2 linked regions of the Caenorhabditis elegans genome follow. The protein of the gene in region 2 interacts with the protein of the main gene of each other region in a pairwise test. Each region holds a gene or a part of one and is shown on either strand. Other genes may lie near its edges.

The links.
Region 1: the proteins of ral-1 (region 2) and samp-1 interact in a two-hybrid assay, tested with the Caenorhabditis elegans proteins (one large-scale study listed by BioGRID).

What each region holds. Positions count from the first base shown.
Region 1 is NC_003280.10:11,299,741-11,307,368, reverse strand, and holds samp-1 (Transmembrane protein 201 homolog), read right to left. Parts: upstream 4,479-7,628; coding exon 4,417-4,478; intron 4,364-4,416; coding exon 4,113-4,363; intron 4,062-4,112; coding exon 3,542-4,061; intron 3,496-3,541; coding exon 3,417-3,495; intron 3,368-3,416; coding exon 3,240-3,367; intron 3,188-3,239; coding exon 2,624-3,187; intron 2,161-2,623; coding exon 1,998-2,160; 3' UTR 1,683-1,997; downstream 1-1,682. Other genes in the region: rsf-1 (Ras association domain-containing protein 1 homolog), read right to left, coding at 912-951; raga-1 (GTP-binding protein), read right to left, coding at 4,915-5,010, 5,061-5,151, 5,199-5,807, 5,863-6,005; saps-1 (Serine/threonine-protein phosphatase 6 regulatory subunit), read right to left, coding at 6,758-7,005, 7,156-7,544, 7,592-7,628. UniProt on the Caenorhabditis elegans protein: Plays a role in nuclear migration in hypodermal cells.
Region 2 is NC_003281.10:3,308,129-3,318,248, reverse strand, and holds ral-1 (small monomeric GTPase), read right to left. Parts: upstream 6,940-10,120; 5' UTR 6,653-6,939; coding exon 6,532-6,652; intron 5,684-6,531; coding exon 5,625-5,683; intron 5,550-5,624; coding exon 5,484-5,549; intron 4,476-5,483; coding exon 4,354-4,475; intron 4,049-4,353; coding exon 3,962-4,048; intron 2,353-3,961; coding exon 2,175-2,352; intron 879-2,174; coding exon 747-878; 3' UTR 533-746; downstream 1-532.

The sequences.
Region 1 (7,628 bases), on a different chromosome or scaffold from region 2:
ACAGAAAGAGTGTTCTCTTTTCTCTCTTGTCACTTCACTTTCAACTGATTGTCAATAAAAAATGAGGAGAGTGAAATGTTGTAAACGAAACGTGCTCGTTGTGCAGAAACTCATCGCGTGCAATTTTTGATATAGATCTGAGCTACTGTTTTTTTGTTGATAAACTTTAAAGTTGGAAATTGGTGGAGTTCCAGTTTATGATTCGTTTTTTGAACAGATAATGTCAGGACCGCAGTTGAGAATTGGAAGGAGTATCGTAAGTCGAAAAATTGTTAAAACCGGTTATAGTGTCCATAGTGTCTAACATAAGTAAGTTATAGTAGTTATAGTTATAGTTATAGTTGTAGTTATAGTTGTAGTTGTAGTAGTTGTAGTTATAGTCATGGTGTCGACAGACGTCTAAGATGCCCAAAATAATTTAGCAAAACTTTTCAACAAATTTTTCAAATATTGTTATTTACAGTCAAAAAATGATCATAATTTTGGAAGTTGAACAAAAAATTTCTTTTTTTCTACGAGTTTTGTATTTTACCATGTATAAATTGTTATCATATAATCATTCTAATGGGTTCAAATTTGCAGACATTCTCGACATTACCCAAATAGTCCTCACTTTTAAAATATTTGCCAATTTGTTTTGGAAAATTGGCAGTTTACCAAATCCCTGCTAGAAATATTGGCAATTTGCCAAAATATCGGCAAAAATTTGGCAATTTACAAAAACGTTTTGGAAAATTAGGCAACTCACTAAAACTTTCTTTTTCAATCTAACTTTTATATATATATGTTTTCTCAACCATTTAATATGGTCAGTGGCCTAGAAAAGTCAAAATGCCTGACAGTTTTGACACAACCTTTAAAATTTTTCCTGTTGTTTAATAAAAACAAAAATTAAAAATTTGAAAACTCACCTTTAGCTTTATCATTATTATTTACAACGGACCGAAGCATGTGCACATACAGTTTTGATCTGAAATCATCATACATTCCATATTCAAAAGTACAAATTTAAAGTCAAAGTCAGCAGCATAAGTACATACACACGGTTTCTTCCGAGAATTGAGCTATTTAAAAGGGATATGGCATGAAAAATTCATAAGAGTTTTGGTTTTTGCTGCAAGACTCGTCCATTGAAAAGAGGAAGGGAGGATCACAAGTGAATGAAATATGAGAAGAAAAGGGAGGAAAATATGAGATACGGAAGAGAAAAGGAACAAATGACGGTGTGGATAATTGTGAGAAGATGAATACGAGTAACCGTAATTGTGGCAGAAGATGGTAAAAGTCGAACTGGCGTCGTCTGAGCGGCAGCAAAATAATTAACCACTACGCCACCGGTGGTTTTTAAGATTTTTTTATTTGATTAGCAGTAAATATAGAAGTGTTTTTTAAGTTTTGTGAAAAACCTTACAATTTGCCAATTTCAAAGTTTTCCCAATTTTGGGCATAGAAAACTGGTATTCAAAAGAGACATCTACTAAAGTGAGGTCAGGCGGACAAACAGAGGACACGAAGAGTGTGTGAATTGGCGAGACGCAGAGATTCGACCACTCCCAGACAGTGTGCAATCCGGGAGAAGCGCAGGAGTGGAGCAATTGTGTGGTGCGCAGCAGGCGGGATGGGGAAGCTGCCTTGTTTGTTGATGTTGTTGCAATCCATTTCTCATCTTTTGCGCGTTCTTTTTTCTCGGGAATTATTCATTTTGTCAATAGACTTGTACTGGAGAGAGATGTATATGTAGATGGGTTTCATGTAGTAGAAATTGAAGTAGTAAGGTATTTAACAACGAAGTGAGATCATCAGAGAGGGTGAAAAGGGGCATATTTGAAAGAATAAATTCAACAAAACGAGCTAGACACACATCAAATAGTAAAAGAGCACTGGGAACCCAAATAACTTGAAACTAATATCACACAGGATCAAACAACAAAAATGTGAATAGGGCATGATGAGGAGAGAGATGAAACATAGAAAACAACATATATAATAAGGTCGAATCAATTGCGGGTGAAAAGAACGTAGAACAGTCCGATCTGCATGATGAGTACGATAAAAACCAGCGCGAAGAGGATGCCGATGACGCGACACTGCCACGCGCCGCTGACCGTTGAGTGTCCGTCTTGTTGCGAGACCGATGTGAACACTGAACCGGGTCGAGTGCTGTAAATAAATAAAATTGATGGGAATCTTGAAGGTTAATAGAAGGAAAAACGTAGAAAAACCAAACAGAATTTAGTCAATCTTTTCAATAAATGCTGGTTCTTGCAAAATATTATTGGCTCCAAAATACCGTAACCACGGTCTCGAAACGAAAATCTAATCTTCAAATTTTAAATCTAAATTGAATAATAACGGAATTTTCAATTCTTTTTAAATTAATTTTAGTTTTCATCTGAGCTTACGTGACCTGTGACTTGAAAGGTCTAACCAAAATTCCACATATTATTTATCAAAGTCCAACGTCCAATCAGTTCTAAGTTTTTAAAAGTCTAATATACAATTATCCTGCACAAATGCTATCACACTATTGCTTCTCTAATTATCATTCTAAACAAAAAATAACTGATTGTTCAAGATTAAAGGGTTAAGTTTTAATAAATATTTCAGTTTCAACAAATCTTACTGTGCTTCCGGTGCCATGTAGTGGCTCCTGTCGTATTGTGAAGCTACCATAGATCGTGGTGGCCCGAACAATGATCTAGTCGGTGTGTGATTCTGTTGCTGAGCCATTTGCCGGTGTTGTCTTGAGAATATACTTGGAGAATCGACAGATCTCGTATCAAGATTCAAATTTGCCACGGAGGGTGTAAGCTGTTGAGCAGTCATTCTTTCATTGATATTTCTGGATAAAAGTCCTGGCTTGAAATGACTGGAACGAGTTGATTGAGCAACCGATTGAGCCGCCATCGATTCACTATCATCCCAATCCATTGATTCCACGTGATTGTTAGGTTTAGTCTGATAACTTTGCATATTTTCCTTGTTCTCCCGACTTCTCATTGCAGACCACACTGGACCATTTGTTATTTCACGGAGCAATGGTGGAGAGGAATTCATTGCTGGAGGGCTTGCTGATGGCGTATGTGGAGATCTTCGAAGAATCGTGTGGTCATGATCGAGAAGTGAAGCGTTTCGACTGTTTTGTGAAGAGCATTGAGAGATCGGAGTTGACGCAACAGAGAAGGCACTGAAAATTGAAAAAGTTGAAGGAATTTTTAAAAATAAAATATTTATTTAACCTTGAAACAATCTTATTCGGTCGTTTCTTATGCAGCTTTTTCCTTGGAAGAAGTGTCACTGCCATTGAAAGGATCGTTGAAAACGAAGCACATGCACCTCTGACAAGAGCGACATCTTGTGATAAATTCTGAAAAAAAGAGGTGTAAAACTTGCAAAGGGTATATTTTGAAACTCACATCACTTGAAGTCAAAACTGTTAGCATTGCGAGGATCAGAAGGATGGGCAGCAGCAGGTCGGGAAGAGTAACTCGGCATCTGAAATTAAAATTACAGTTTTTTTGTATTGTAGAATGAAACTTACTTATTATTAAATGCAGCAATCAAATGTGTAGTGAAGATCAGAAAATTGATGACGAAGGAATATTTATAAACTTCTGGCAGAATATCTTGAAGAGCCTTTGGCAAATTGATCAGCGATGCTCCTGCATCTTGCTGTAAGAAGTCGATATTCGCCAAAAAGAGAATAATTGAAGAGATGAGGCATCCAAAATGAAGAGCTTCACATGTACTTCCACCGGCGAAGAAGAATCTCCGCGATCGTTTCTGATTGTTCATCACTTCTCGTAGAGTAGATCCAATTGCATGTTTCAGCTTATATTTCACTTTCAGAAGATATGAGTATTTCTTCTTATCCTCCTCCAGCTTTCCATGAACTTGAATTGTACATCTCGGACACAGCTGGTACATTCTTTCCAGTTTGTATCGATAATCCTCGAGCTCTTCGTTCCATCGATCCTCATCAATGGGCTCGAATTCTGCGACCTTGTTCATTATGATCTCCTGGCCGAGGTTGCATTCCGAGCAGAGACCGTTAGAAGCTTCTGGAATTTTAATTTAACTCATAAATTATAAAAAAAGGATATTAAACTCACTAGGACTCATGTTCACCCCGCCAAATCGATCCAAAAATGTGCTCGGCTTCTCTGACTGCATTTTCCCCGGCTCACAATATCTCTTGGGTGTAGTCCACGCTTGTCCAGGAATCCGACGGTTATAGTCTCCGTCTTCGGTGAATCCGTTGTATTGTTCGCATGACGGGCAGGTGAAGCTATTCCTTTGCTGGTATTCGACCTTCGTGCTTTTGCGGCAAAACCAGCACTCCACCGATGTCTTTATCCGAGGTCTGAAAATATGTATAATTATTAATTTTTTGCAAATTAAGAAGAAAAACATTACCTTATAGCCTTATAAAGGATCGGAACTGAAGCGATCACACCGACCGCAGCAGCCACCTCCATCTGAATTTATATTGAAATTTTATACTTTTTTAAACATAGATTAAAATAGGCAGACTTGTTGATAACAAATTACTAATTAAACGAGAAAATATCAGTTAAATTCCAAATGAAAATATAGCACAATTCATATACAAATACAGAACAAGAACACGAACGATAGGTTTTTTCGATGATGACTATCGCAAAGAATCGGATTTGGATGGTACGGGGAGAATTAAACAAAAAAAACGAAAAACTTCGCAAAAGCACTGGCGAAACGGAAAATCTAAGCGGTGAATTACGAAATATAGTGAAAAATATAGAGTTGAACAATTTTGCAGTTGGATTTAAATAAATCAGTTTAGCATTATAATACAGCAACATGGGATATGGGATGGTAACTAAACGAAAATAACTGGAATGCGGGGCAAGAACTCGGTGAAATATTCAAATTCGTCTAGCTTTTCGTCTCGATCGCCTCGAACACCTTCCTCGCGTTCTTCACGTTCATTGTGATCATTGGAGCCGATGCGTTGCCGTCGGGTATCACGATCTGAACAAAATAAAATAGTGTTTTAAAATACATTTTATTTGAGATTTTACCATAACATAAGTGTTCTGGGTGAACGAGTCGATGAATGCGGAGAATTGACTGTTTCGGACTTGAATCGAATCCAACTTGGACCCCATTTTTCTGAAAGGAAGATGAAGCTTGAATTAATCTGTTTCGATGTAACTTACGTGCATGAAAGCTTGAATTGCTTTATGATGTTTGAAACCTTCTCGAATCGATGTGGATCCTTATGCTCTCGGAGAACAGCATGCGCAATAACCAGGAACGTCGCTCTCTCGAATAGAATAACTTCATCGGCATCCAAAATAGCTCCGAACTTCTTCAGCTTGTCCTCCATGGTTCCGACGTTTGGCACCAGATGATAGACTATCGCGGACCACGCTTTGTAGAGTGTCTCATCCCAAATACTGCTCTTGAAGCATTGACAAACAGCGTTCGTCCGTTCATTCTGAAGTGGAGTCGCTGCAAGTTCACTGTATCGCAGTACATCTGCTTCACGACGTTTGAACGTCTCTTCACGTTTGTCCTCCTCGATCAGATCCATTTTGTGAATGAGACAGAAGACTTGAGCATTCGGTGAATTTTGGAGAAGAGCTTCGAGACAAGACTGGTAATATCTGAGATCTTTCTCGAACTCTCGGCTTTCCACGTCGAATACGTATATGAGCACTTGAACATTCTTGAAGATCTGATCCTTTTGCGAGACGAGGAAGTTCTCCATGAATGATTCCTGACCACCACAATCCCACAAGTGAAGAACCATGTTTCCGAGGAACCTGGAAAAGGAAAAATTGTGTTCTTTTGATAATTGATCCAGAATTGATCCCTTACTTGACATGAGCATGCTCAACTTCGATTGTTGGCCCGAGACGCGAACAATCCCTGGCGATGTAGTTGGCAAATATGATCGAACGCATCGAAGTCTTGCCGGATCCACTTTTGCCCATCAGAAGAACTTTTCGTTTTGAAGACATCTTTTCTGAAAATAAATTATGTTTTTTTCTGAAGATCTTTGAAACAAAACTAAGATATTAGAACAATGATCATAAAACATCCAAATTTTCAATCAAGCTATAATTTTTTAAAAAGAATTTATAAACTCATGAAAGAGGAAGAAATACAAGAAATAGTGGGAAGTTATTATTGAATGCAACGAATTGTGAAATAGGATGGAATGGAAAATCTGATACTCACTAACACGAGATAAACAATCAATGAAGGTGAAATCAGAATAATTGAATTTCAATAACCACCTAAACAAGAAAAAGAGTAGAGGGGGAAAAGATTGGACCAAATTAAAAGTTGCCCGAGAATCATATATTATGTATTAGAAGAAGTAACAAATAAGCCGTGCTTCTTATCACTGGGGGCGCTCACTTTTTTTAAATGATAAGATAATGTTCTTTAGAAGAAACCAGCAAAGATGAGAAGCCACGGAAAATTCGGAAACAAAATTCTAAGTGCATCGGATGCAACGGTTTTAAAGTCGGTGGGAATATGGGGAAACATGAACAACGAATGGAGAATGGGAAAGAACCGCAAAATCGAGATTGATAAATTAATAAGTGAAATTTGCAAGAAACACACACACACAGAAAAATTTTGGAATTCTGGTTGAAAATGAGGGGGAAGTTCGAAGTGAATTGCATACAAGACTATAAACAGAAAAATGTAGAAAATAATTGGGATGTGAAACGAATTGGGGATGACACGAGTTGCAAGGGCTTCAAGCCTCGCTGCTGTCTCCAGGATGGGATATACTCGCAGCAAGTCCAACCATTACCGGGTCGGATGCTTTCGATTCGTGCGAGTTGTTCAACGGCCAATCCGACGCTTCCCCTTGAAGATGAATGTCTGATCCAGGCCACGCATCGGAGCTACTGGACGACGCCGAGTTTGCAGCTGCAGTCGGACTGATGGTTGGGAACGAGGAGAAATCGGCCCACATATCGTCTTCCTTTGGGGGTGCCATGTCTGAAAACATTGATTTTAAATTGAGTAATAAAATTGGTTCAACATAGGTGGGATGGCTTACTCCAGGAAATCGGAAAGGGAAACCGACGTGCAACAATCTACAGACTTGATGGTGGCTGCAATCCCACCTATCATGTCCAGCTTTATTACCTAAATGTGAAAAGTCAGGTGCCGTCTCGTCAACCCAGTTATTTTCCGGACGATGTCCAGTCTGAGTGACAACTTCGGTTTCCCCGAGTGGTGGCACAGTTGGCCACACCCACTCCCCGTCTCCTTCTTCCTGTTCTAGAAAAGCCTGATTCCCGTTTGTCTGTTGTGGATACGTACTGGCAACGACACTCGGTGGTTCCGACGCCTTCTCTGATGTCTTTTCTGCCTCTCCAGGCCATTTGATTGGGCTCGTCTCGAAACTTATTCCAGCGCACGACGAGGAGTTGGCTCGCTCTGAGCACAACTTTCTGAACTCATCCTCGTCCGGCGTGTCGTCAAATTGACCTTCAAAGTCGGAAAATCGCTGCATATTTGGTTCGAATGGCGAGCTAAAAAATAGATTAGACGTAAAATTGGCAATAATTTAATAACTAACCTAAAACCAGAAAACGCTTGCTTAGCAGATGATGTTG
Region 2 (10,120 bases):
CCGATTTCAATGCTTTTTATTGCCAAATGCTTTAAAATTTTCAAAAATTCCACTTTTTAATCTCTGAAAATTCATTTTGAGCCGAAGAATTGTGCAAAAATTTCCTTAAAAATTCCCAAAATATCCGATTTTCAGCTGTTTTTCCTCAATAAAACCCTGAAAAATCCATTTTCAAGCCACATTTCCACCATTTCCAGCACTTTTTCCATTCCTAAAAATTTTCCATCCATCAAAAAATTCCAACACATTTCCCCATGATTTTCTCGATTTCTCTCTATTTTTTAATTAAAATTTTCAATTTTTTGTGTGTGATAATAACATGTCTAAAAGAATTATTGATTTTTTTATCCATTTTTGTTGTAATTTTCCCTTTTTTCTCTTGTTTTCTTACCAATTCCCATCCAAATCAGCTCCAACAGTACTTTAATTTATTTATTTTTTTTTTATTTCCAAAAAATGTTCCCCCTTTTCTCTGAATCTCTCCTCTCTCATATACATTTTACTAAATATTTAAAAAAAAAAATAAAAAAAATTTCGGAAAAAAAATTAATTTTTCATGTGAATTGTAGGCGGTTTTGGATGACCCGGATGGCGCGGATAGGGATAAAAATTTAAAATTAAAAAATTAAAAAGAAGGAAAAATATATAAAATCGCAAAAAAATTAAAATTTTAGGCGGCGAGGCGGGAAATAAGGCAAATTGCACACGGAAATTTCAAAAAAAAATTGGAGAAAAAAACTGAAAATTTAAAGAATTGTGCAATGCTTCTTGATTCCGGATCGCTTTTTACGGCCGGAGCTCGCCGACGCGTCGATTCCTGTTTGAGCCTGTGAGCCACCCTTTCGACGCTTCATTTCACGCATCAAATCGTAGAATACCTGCAAAAAAATTTGGGGATTTTAGGAGTTTTTAACTGAAAAAAAAAACGATTTTTTTAATGAGAGTTTTTACTGGGAAAAATTGTAAATTCATAATTTTTCACCGGAAAATTGAAATTTTACGATTTTTGGACTAAAAAATTGAAATTTTTTGGACTAAAAATTGAAATTTTATGATTTTTTGAACTAAAAAATTGAAATTTTATAATTTTTTGGACTAAAAATTGAAATTTTAGAGTTTTTAACTGAAAAAAAACGAAATTTTGCGATTTTCCAAACTAAAAATCGATTTTTTTGACTTTACAAAATTGAAATTTTGGGGATTTTTAGATAAAAAAAACTGGAAAATGGCATATTTCGGAAATTTTTAGTGAAAAAAAAACGGAGTAAATTGACTATTTTTGGCTAAAAATTGCACAAAATCCATACAATTTTGAAATTTTTCACAAATTTTCATTAAAAATTCGAATTTTTAATCTAAAAACGACGAATTTTTCACTATTCAACTCAAAATTCCACTATTTTCTCCAATTTTCTCGATTTTTAGCCTAAAAACGTTGGATGTTTCCAATTTTCCGGCTGAAATTCGCCGAATTTTCCAAATTTTCAGCCTAAAATCCTCCCGTACCTTTTTTTTCACAGGAAAAATTAAAATTTTAGTAGGTTTTTAGCTGAAAAATTGAATTTTTTGAGTTTTTAACTGAAAAAATCGAAATTTTTTATATTTTTTTGACTGAAAAATTGAAATTCTCCAAAATGAGCACAATTATTAGCTCAAAATGAATTTTCCGGGCTCAGAAAGTGAAATTTTTAAAATTTTCAGGGAATTTGTCATGAAAGCTCTTAAAATCAGCAAAAAAAATTGTTTTTTAACTAAAAAAAGGCCATTTTTTGATTTTTCATGTGAAAATTAAATATGTTTTTTTTTGTTATTTTTTACACGAAAAGATCGAATTTTTATGAATTTTTTGATGAAAACTTGAAATTTTATGATTGTTTAGATGGAAAAAATCGAATTTCTTGATTTTTCAACTTTAAAGTGGAATTTTATGATTTTTTAACTGAAAAAATCAAAGTTTTAGGATTTTTTAGCTCAAAAATCGCTGAATTTCACAGATTTTCAGCCGAAAACTTATTTCCTGCTGAAAATTGGAGACATTTGTGTCAAAAATTTGAATTTTTCGCTTTTCAGCTCAAAATTCCGCCAATTTTGACTATTTTCTCCAATTTTTCCAATTTTCCGGCTGAAATTCGCCGAATTTTCCAAATTTTCAGCCTAAAATCTCTTCCCAATACCTTATCAACATTTTCACGTCTTTTAGCCGATGTCTCAACATAATGACATCCCCATTGTTCAGCACGTTGTCGACATAATTCAGCTGATACAACACGTTGATCACGCATATCACCCTTATTTCCAACCAATACAATTGGAACTGATGAATCCGAATTTTTGACACGAAGAATTTGTTCGCTGCAAGAAATAACGGGGGTTTTGGGCCTAAATTGTCTAAAAATCGAAGCTTTTCGGCCTAAAATAGGCAAATTTTGGCCGTTTTTAGTGAAAATTTCACAAAATTCGGGTTAAAATTTCCCATTTTTCAAGTTTTTCGGCTTAAAATAGGCAAAATTTGACATTTTTGAGTGAAAATTTCATGAAATTTGGGTGAAAATTGCCCAAAATCGGGGTTTTTCGGCCTAAAATAGGCAAAATTTGAAAGTTTTTAGTGAAAATTTGATGAAATTTGGGTGAAAATGGACCAAAATCCTAGTTTTTTGAACAAAAATAGGCAAATTTTGTAAGTTTTTAATGAAAATTTGGCAAATTTGGGGTGAAAATTGACTAAAATCCGAGTTTTCGGGTCTATAGAGCGTAAAATTTGAAAGTTTTCATGAAAATTGGGTTAAAACCGACCTTTTTAAAAAGTTTTTCGGTCTAAAATAGGCGAATTTTGAGATTTTTGTGTGAAAAAGTGAAATTTTCTTGAAATTTAGAGTTTTTTCAACCGAAAATAGGCAAATTTTGGCCGTTTTTAGTGAAAATTTCACAAAATTCGCGTTAAAATTGACCATTTTTCAAGTTTTTCGGCCTAAGATAGGCTTAATTTGACATTTTTAAGTCGAAATTTTGTAAGTTTAGGCTTAAAATGGACCAAATTACGAGTTTTTTTAAACAAAAATACGCAATTTTGAAAGTTTTGAGGAGAAATTTCATGAAAATTGGGTAAAAATTGACAATTTTTCGAGTTTTTACTAATTTTGAAAGACAAAAATGTGCAAATTTAGACATTTTTAAGCGAAAATTTCGTGAGTTTAGGGTTAAGATGGGCCAAAATCCGAGTTTTTTGACCGAAAATAGGCAAATTTGGACATTTTTGAGTGAAAATTTTACGAAATATGGGTGAAAAATGCCCGAAATCGGGGTTTTTCGGTCTAAAATAGGCAAAAATTGACAGTTTTTAGTCAAAATTTAGTAAATTTAGGGTTAAAATGAACCAAAATTGGAGTTTTTGCCAGAAAATTTCAGAAATTTGCATATTTTCAGTAAAATTCATCGAAAATCTGACATTTTTTTGGCATTTTTTAGCACGAAAAAGTGTTTTATTCAGTTTGGAATCTTTTTTTGCTAAAAACGAGCAAATTTTTACATTTTTATTGAAAATTTCATGGAATTCGGGTTAAAACTGACCAAAAATCAATTTTTTCGCATTTTCAGGACTTTTTTGGTCGAAATTTTGCTATTTTCAACCAAATTCCAGTTAAAAGTGACCAAAATTCGCATTTTTCATTACTTTTTTGCTCGAAAATGGCAAAATTAGCAGAAATTTGGTGTATTTTTCAAATTTTTCGCTTAAAATCGGTCAAAATTAGGAATTTTTAGGTGGAAATTATCGAAAATTGCCCTATTTTCTTGAAATTCCTCCTTTTTTTGTCAAATTTCAGCCAAAAAAAAAAACTGAAAATTCATTAAAAATTATCGATTTTTGTCCAATTTTTCGAGAAAAAACTGAAAATTTCAATGTTTTAGGGTGAAAAAATCAATTTTTCTTCATTTTTCCAGTCAAAATGTCGAAAAAACTTACCGAAACTCGTTTGTAGCCTCAAATGATTCCATATCCAAAATCGAAAAGACACAAATAAATCCCTCACCACTTCGATAGTAATTATCACTGAAAAATTGAAAAAATTGGGGAAAAATCAGTTAAAATTACGATTTTTTGGCTCTTTTCGCGTGAAAAAACAAAAAATTCCTTAAAATTTAGTCTTTGGTGGGAAAAAAAGTTCAAAAACCGGCTCAAAACCTCCGATTTTTCCGGAAAATCCCAAAAAATCGGCTTAAAATGACGACTTTTGCTGAAAATAACGAAAAATAAGCCGATTTTTGGCAATTTTTCTCTAAAATTTGATGAAAAACATCCAAATTTCGTGATTTTTTCGATTTTTCAGCGATTTTTCGCCAATTTCCAGTGCTTACCGAATTGCAGAATAATCTTCTTGTCCAGCCGTATCAAGAATATCAATTGAGCATTCTTCACCGTCTAAAACCACTTTTTTACGATACGAATCCGCTTTTGTTGGCTCATATTCCTCCACAAACTGCAAAAAAAAAGGATAAATTCGGTTTTTAGATTAAAAAATCCGAGAAAATTGGAATTTTTGAGTGAAAATTGTGATTTTTGGGGTTTTTTGACATAAAATTCGGGAAAATCAGAACTTTTCAACGTATTTTTGGTAGAAAAATGAAAAAATTGGGATTTTTTGACATAAAATTCGTGAAAATTGGAATTTTTTGGGGGTTTTTCGACATAAAAAAGGCGAAAATAGGTATTTTTTTAATAAAATTTTTGGAAAATTGGAATTTTTCGGGGGTTTTGGATATGAAAAAGGCAAAATTTTGAATTTTTTGGCATAAAATTCCCAAAAATTGGATTTTTTTTTCATAAAAAACGTGAAAAGTGGAATTTTTGTGATTTTTCGACATAAAATTCGGTAAAATCAGAATTTTTCATAGTTTTTGGGTAGAAAAATGGAAAAATGAAGATTTTTTGGGGTTTTTTGACATAAAACTCGCAAAAAATTGGAATTTTTCAGTGATTTAAAGTAGAAAACGGAAATATCGGAATTTTTTACATTAAATTTGCAAAATTGGGATTTTTTTGCCTTAAAATTCGGGAAAATTGGCATTTTTAGAGCTTTTGAGTGAAAAAAACTCGAAAATCGGATTATTTTTGGATTTTTTGACATAAAATTCGGGGAAAATGGAATTTTTCAGGCTTTCTGACGTAAAATACCCAAAACTCGAATTTTTTTGGGGTTTTTGGCAAAAAATGCACAAAATTCGGCCTAAAAAAGGTACAAATTGAGATTTTTCGACATAAAATTCGGGAACATCGCAAAACTTCGGATTTTTAACATAAAATTTGAGAAAAACGACGTTTTTAGAGTCTTTGCATGCAAATTTGCAAAAATTCCGGGATTTTCGTCTAGATTCTTCGGAAAAATCGGAATTTCCGGTGTTTTCTTCTTGAAACATCGATTTTTAGGTTTTTTTCGGAATTTTTCAGAAAAAATTGTTCTTTTCTCGTTTTTCGCCAAATTCCGCACCTCATCATACATGAACTGCAAAGTGAGAGCCGATTTTCCGACACCTCCGGTTCCGACCATAATAACCTGCAATTTTATTGATTTTTTCAGTTTTTTTGGGAAAAAATTCAATTTTTTCGAATTTTCAGGGCAAAAACTCACTTTATGGACGACTTGTTGTTGCGGCGGCAGTGTTCCGCTTGCTTTTTTCGATGCCATGGCTGAAAATTCGAGTTTTAGGGGGAAAACCCGGGGGAAATCGACGAAAATTGGGGAATTTCTCAATTTTTGGCTAGAAAATATCCGGGAAATTGCAAAATTTAGCGTTAAAAATGGAAATTTATGCAAATTTTCAGATTCTCAACAACAAAAACCACCAAAAAACCGGTTTTCCCGCAGAAAATTCATCAAAAAATGACCAAAAACCACCGTAACCCTCCATTCTGAAAGTTGTGTACTCTGCGAACACCGAATTTTACGACAGTTGAGGGGTACGGTAGAAAGCAGGATTTTGCAGGTTTTAAGTAGATTTTAAAGTGAAAATTGTCAGTTTTAAGCTAAAAAATTGTGAAAATCAGTTGAATATATTGATTTTCATGTGAAAAATGCAAGAAAAATTGAGATTTCCTTTTAAAAATGACTGAAAATCTTGAAAACACCAGATCTTACGCGCAAACTTTTTTTCTTTTTATTTTTCACAGGGTTTTTACATATTTTTATTAAAAATCTGCTCAAAAACTGAATTTTTCTGTAATTTTTATAGGGATTACATAAAAAATAAATGATTTCCTTCTTAAAATAAAAAAAAACAGAAAAAATGCCGAAAATTTAAAAACTCGAAATTTCGGTTAAAAATTTAAAAAATTTTCAAAATTTCTACCGGAAACTTATTTATATCAATGAAAACTGCTCTAAACCCCATTTTCCCTCAAATTTCTGCTAAAAAATTCAAATTCCCGCCGCCCAGCGCCAATTTCTCATTAGAGCGCGTTTGCCTCAAATTTCCTCACTTTTTCCTGGATTTCTGCCATTTAAACCAACTTTTCACCACGGAAAAACAAAATATTACCTTCCGGATCATAAAACTCGGGTTCATCACTCTTCCGGCGGAATAAAAAGTGCCAAAGAGCCAAGAATTTAAGCTTTATCCAGTTCCACCCATTTCGGAGCACATGGGACACCTTATCCATTTTTTTTAACGAGAAAATATAAAATTTTCCACTATAGGAAAATTACGGGGGATTTCTCGAGGTTTTTCAGGAAAAAGAATAAAAAATTTCGCAAAAAAAAATGTTGCGAAATTTTCGGATTTTCGGGTCGGAAGAAGGTGTCCAATAGCAACCAGAAGAGCGTATGTGCCTAGTGCCTCATTTTCTATTCACACGCTGACGGGAAAAGTGAGGGTGAGAAATAGTGTAGAAAACCGTGGAGACGCAGACTTTTTGACTGTTTTGGTGAGGCACCGCCTCGCTCTCCCGGCTACACAATTATGCATAATAAGACAAAAAGGCGGAAAAGGCAGAGACGCAGAACAATATGAAATGTTATTTGTTTTAGTACTGTCTGCCGGTGATAGAGGAGGGGATTTTAACAAAAAAACTGTGAAAAAAGTATCGAAATTTTTGAAAAAATCGATAATTTTTCTTGCAAATATCGATTTTTTCCAGGTTTTTTTGAATTTGCCCTACTGAGAGCTTCAAAATGACCCCCATATCGGCTGGTTTACTCGAAAATTCAAAATTTTGCGGTAAACGCGCCCTACCGCACACCGGGGAGGTGGGAACTTGAGTTTATCGATTTTTTAAAGTCGATTATCGATTTTTTCTAATTTGTTCTGGTTTTTATCGAATTCCCCTCACTGTAAGCTGCAAAATAACCCTGATATCGGCTGAATAACTCGAAAATTTGAAATTTTGCGTAAAACGCGCCCTACCGCACACTTGGTCGGCGGGAATTTGAATTTCAACGCGGTTTAACGAGTTTTCAATTTTTTTTCTGATTTTTCCGGTCAAATTGCGGTAGATTTACTTGAAAATTAAACATTTAGTGGAAAACGCGCCCTACCGCACACCAGCGACAATGAAAATGTGCTCTATCGCTAAACGGCGCGGAGGCCCGCGGGAATTTGAATTTTTGAGTGACAATTGAATAAAAAACGATTTTTCCAAGTTTCTCATTGTTTTTCCTGGATTTTGGCCTCAATTAATTCAAATTTTCAAAAAAAAAATTCAAAAATTACCAAAAAAACCTGCTATTTTTTGCTCAAAATGTCGTTTTTTCCCATAAAATAATTTTTTTTTTTCATCACGAAAAGTGTTCCCAAAACATTTTCCAAATAAATTCTATTTTTATTGTTCTTCTCCAGAAAAGAAAAGACCTTGGCATAGTAAAAGGACTCCAATTATCGGAGGAAAATGAGGGTCAAGACTCTTTTTTTCTTATTATAACTTGGTAGTTTTGATGAATTAGGCAGTTTAAGGGAGTAATAAATTAGAAGAAACTTTTTTTTTTGGGAAAAAATTTTTGAAATTTCGAAAAAAAAATTCAAAAAAAAGTTTTTTTTGAACTTCTTTTCAAACTTTTTTTCGGAATTTTTTTTTCAAATAATTTGTTTTTAAAAATTTTCTGCTCAAATTCATACTCAGCTCACCGAGTCCTTCAAAATAACACCCATTTTGGCGGGTTTTTTTCAACGTTTGAAAAACCAAATTGAAAGTGCGCCCCACCGCCGCACTGTTGGCTGGCGGGAATTTAAAATTACTTTTTAAATTCGGGGATTTTCCTGCTTTTAACATTTAAAATGCCGCAAAACTACATTTTTTCAATAAAATGACAGAAAAAATTTGGAATTGTTGCAAACGCGCTCTATAGCCAATTTGCTCGGCGGAGCGCGGGAATTTGAATTTTCCAAAATATTTCAATGATTTTTCGGTGTTATAAGCTATTATGTTGTGAAAAATGATAAACAACAGTGAAAATTAAAAGAAAATATCGATGTTTCGTTAAAAATCGGATAACTGCGGTGAAAACGCGCTCTACCGCTAATAAGGGCGGCACGGGCGGATTGTTTGGCGGGAATTTGAATTTTATTGTGGAAATTATGAGTTTTAGACTATTTTTCTTGATGAAAGTAGATTTTCAGCAAATTTTCCGAATTTTTTAAAGGAAAAGTTTGAAATTTTCGAAAATCTTGGAAAATCGATAAAATTTGATATTTTTCATCGCGAAAATCGATTTTTCTCTATTTTTCCACAAAAACATTTGATTTTGGCCGATTTTACACATTTCTGACCTAATTTCAATAGCCTGGAGAAAACGCGCTCTATTGCTAATCGGGCGGCGTGGTCGGCGGGAATTGGAATTGTTTTTCTGGTTTAAATTTGCGGTTTTAGGCTATTTTTCTTGATTTTAAGGTTTAAAATCAGATTTTCCATTGATTTAAACGCAATTTTTCAGGCATTTTTCGATAAAATATCGATTTGTCCTTAAAAATTTGGATAAAATGAGAAATTCGTTCCGGGAAAACACGAGAAAATCGATGATATATAAATACATAAAAATATAAAAAGTGAAAAAGAGAAGAACGAAAAAAGATGACGCTTCCGTCCCCGAGACCTGCATACCTGTGGAGAAGAGAGAGAGATGGAGAGAGCGCAGAGACGCAGAGATAACAAACAGAAAAATGTGAAGACAAAAAAAACTGGTCGATCTTGTTTGGGTGGTCAACAGCATGGAGAAACAGAAAAAATAACGATAAAAATAGGAAAAAAAAACTGGAAATTAATTAATTTTTTTTTTGGAAAAAAATTTTGAAAAAAACAATTTCAAAAAAATTTTTTTCTTAAAAATCAATAATTTTCTACTGATTTCTGTATGAAGTTTTGTAAAATTCAAAAAATCAGTCAGAAACCTTAAAAAACAGAAAAGTTATAGAACTTTTAAATTTTCAAAAAAAAATTACTGTGGGGTCCCGCCACGAAAAATTTAGGATGTCATTAATTTATTTTCCAAGAATACACAGATTTTGGCTCATTTTAAACTCAAAATAAGCAAAAAATCTTGAAAATTGGGAAAGTTATAAATTTTTGAAATTTTTCGAAAAAAAATTTTTTTTGGAATTTTTTTTTTATTTCAAAATTTCTTAATTGTTTAAATTTTCATGCTTTTTCAGCTAAATTTAGATTTAGAATAAGCACAAAACCTAAATTTTTGAATAAAAATACTACCAATGCCAAAACCTACAGTAACCCTGAAGATTTCGTGGCGGGACTCAAAACTTCAAAAAAACATTTTTTTTTTAATTTTTTGCAAATTTCAAAAATTCATAACTTTTTCAATTTTAAAGATTTAAAGTTAATTTTAAACGTAAAATAAGCAAAAAAACTTGAATTTTTAATCAAAAATACTACCAATGCCAAAAACTACAGTAACCGTGAAGTTTTCGTGGCGGGACTCAAAATATCAAAAAACAATTTTTAATTTTTTTTCAAACTTTAAAAATTCCTAACTTTTTCAATTTTCAAGCTTTTCAGCTAAATGTAGATTCAAAATAAGCACAAAAACTGAAATTTTTGAATAAAATTACTACCAATGTCAAAAATTACAGTACCCCTGAAAATTTCGTGGTGGGACTCAAAATTTCAAAAAAACTTTTTTCA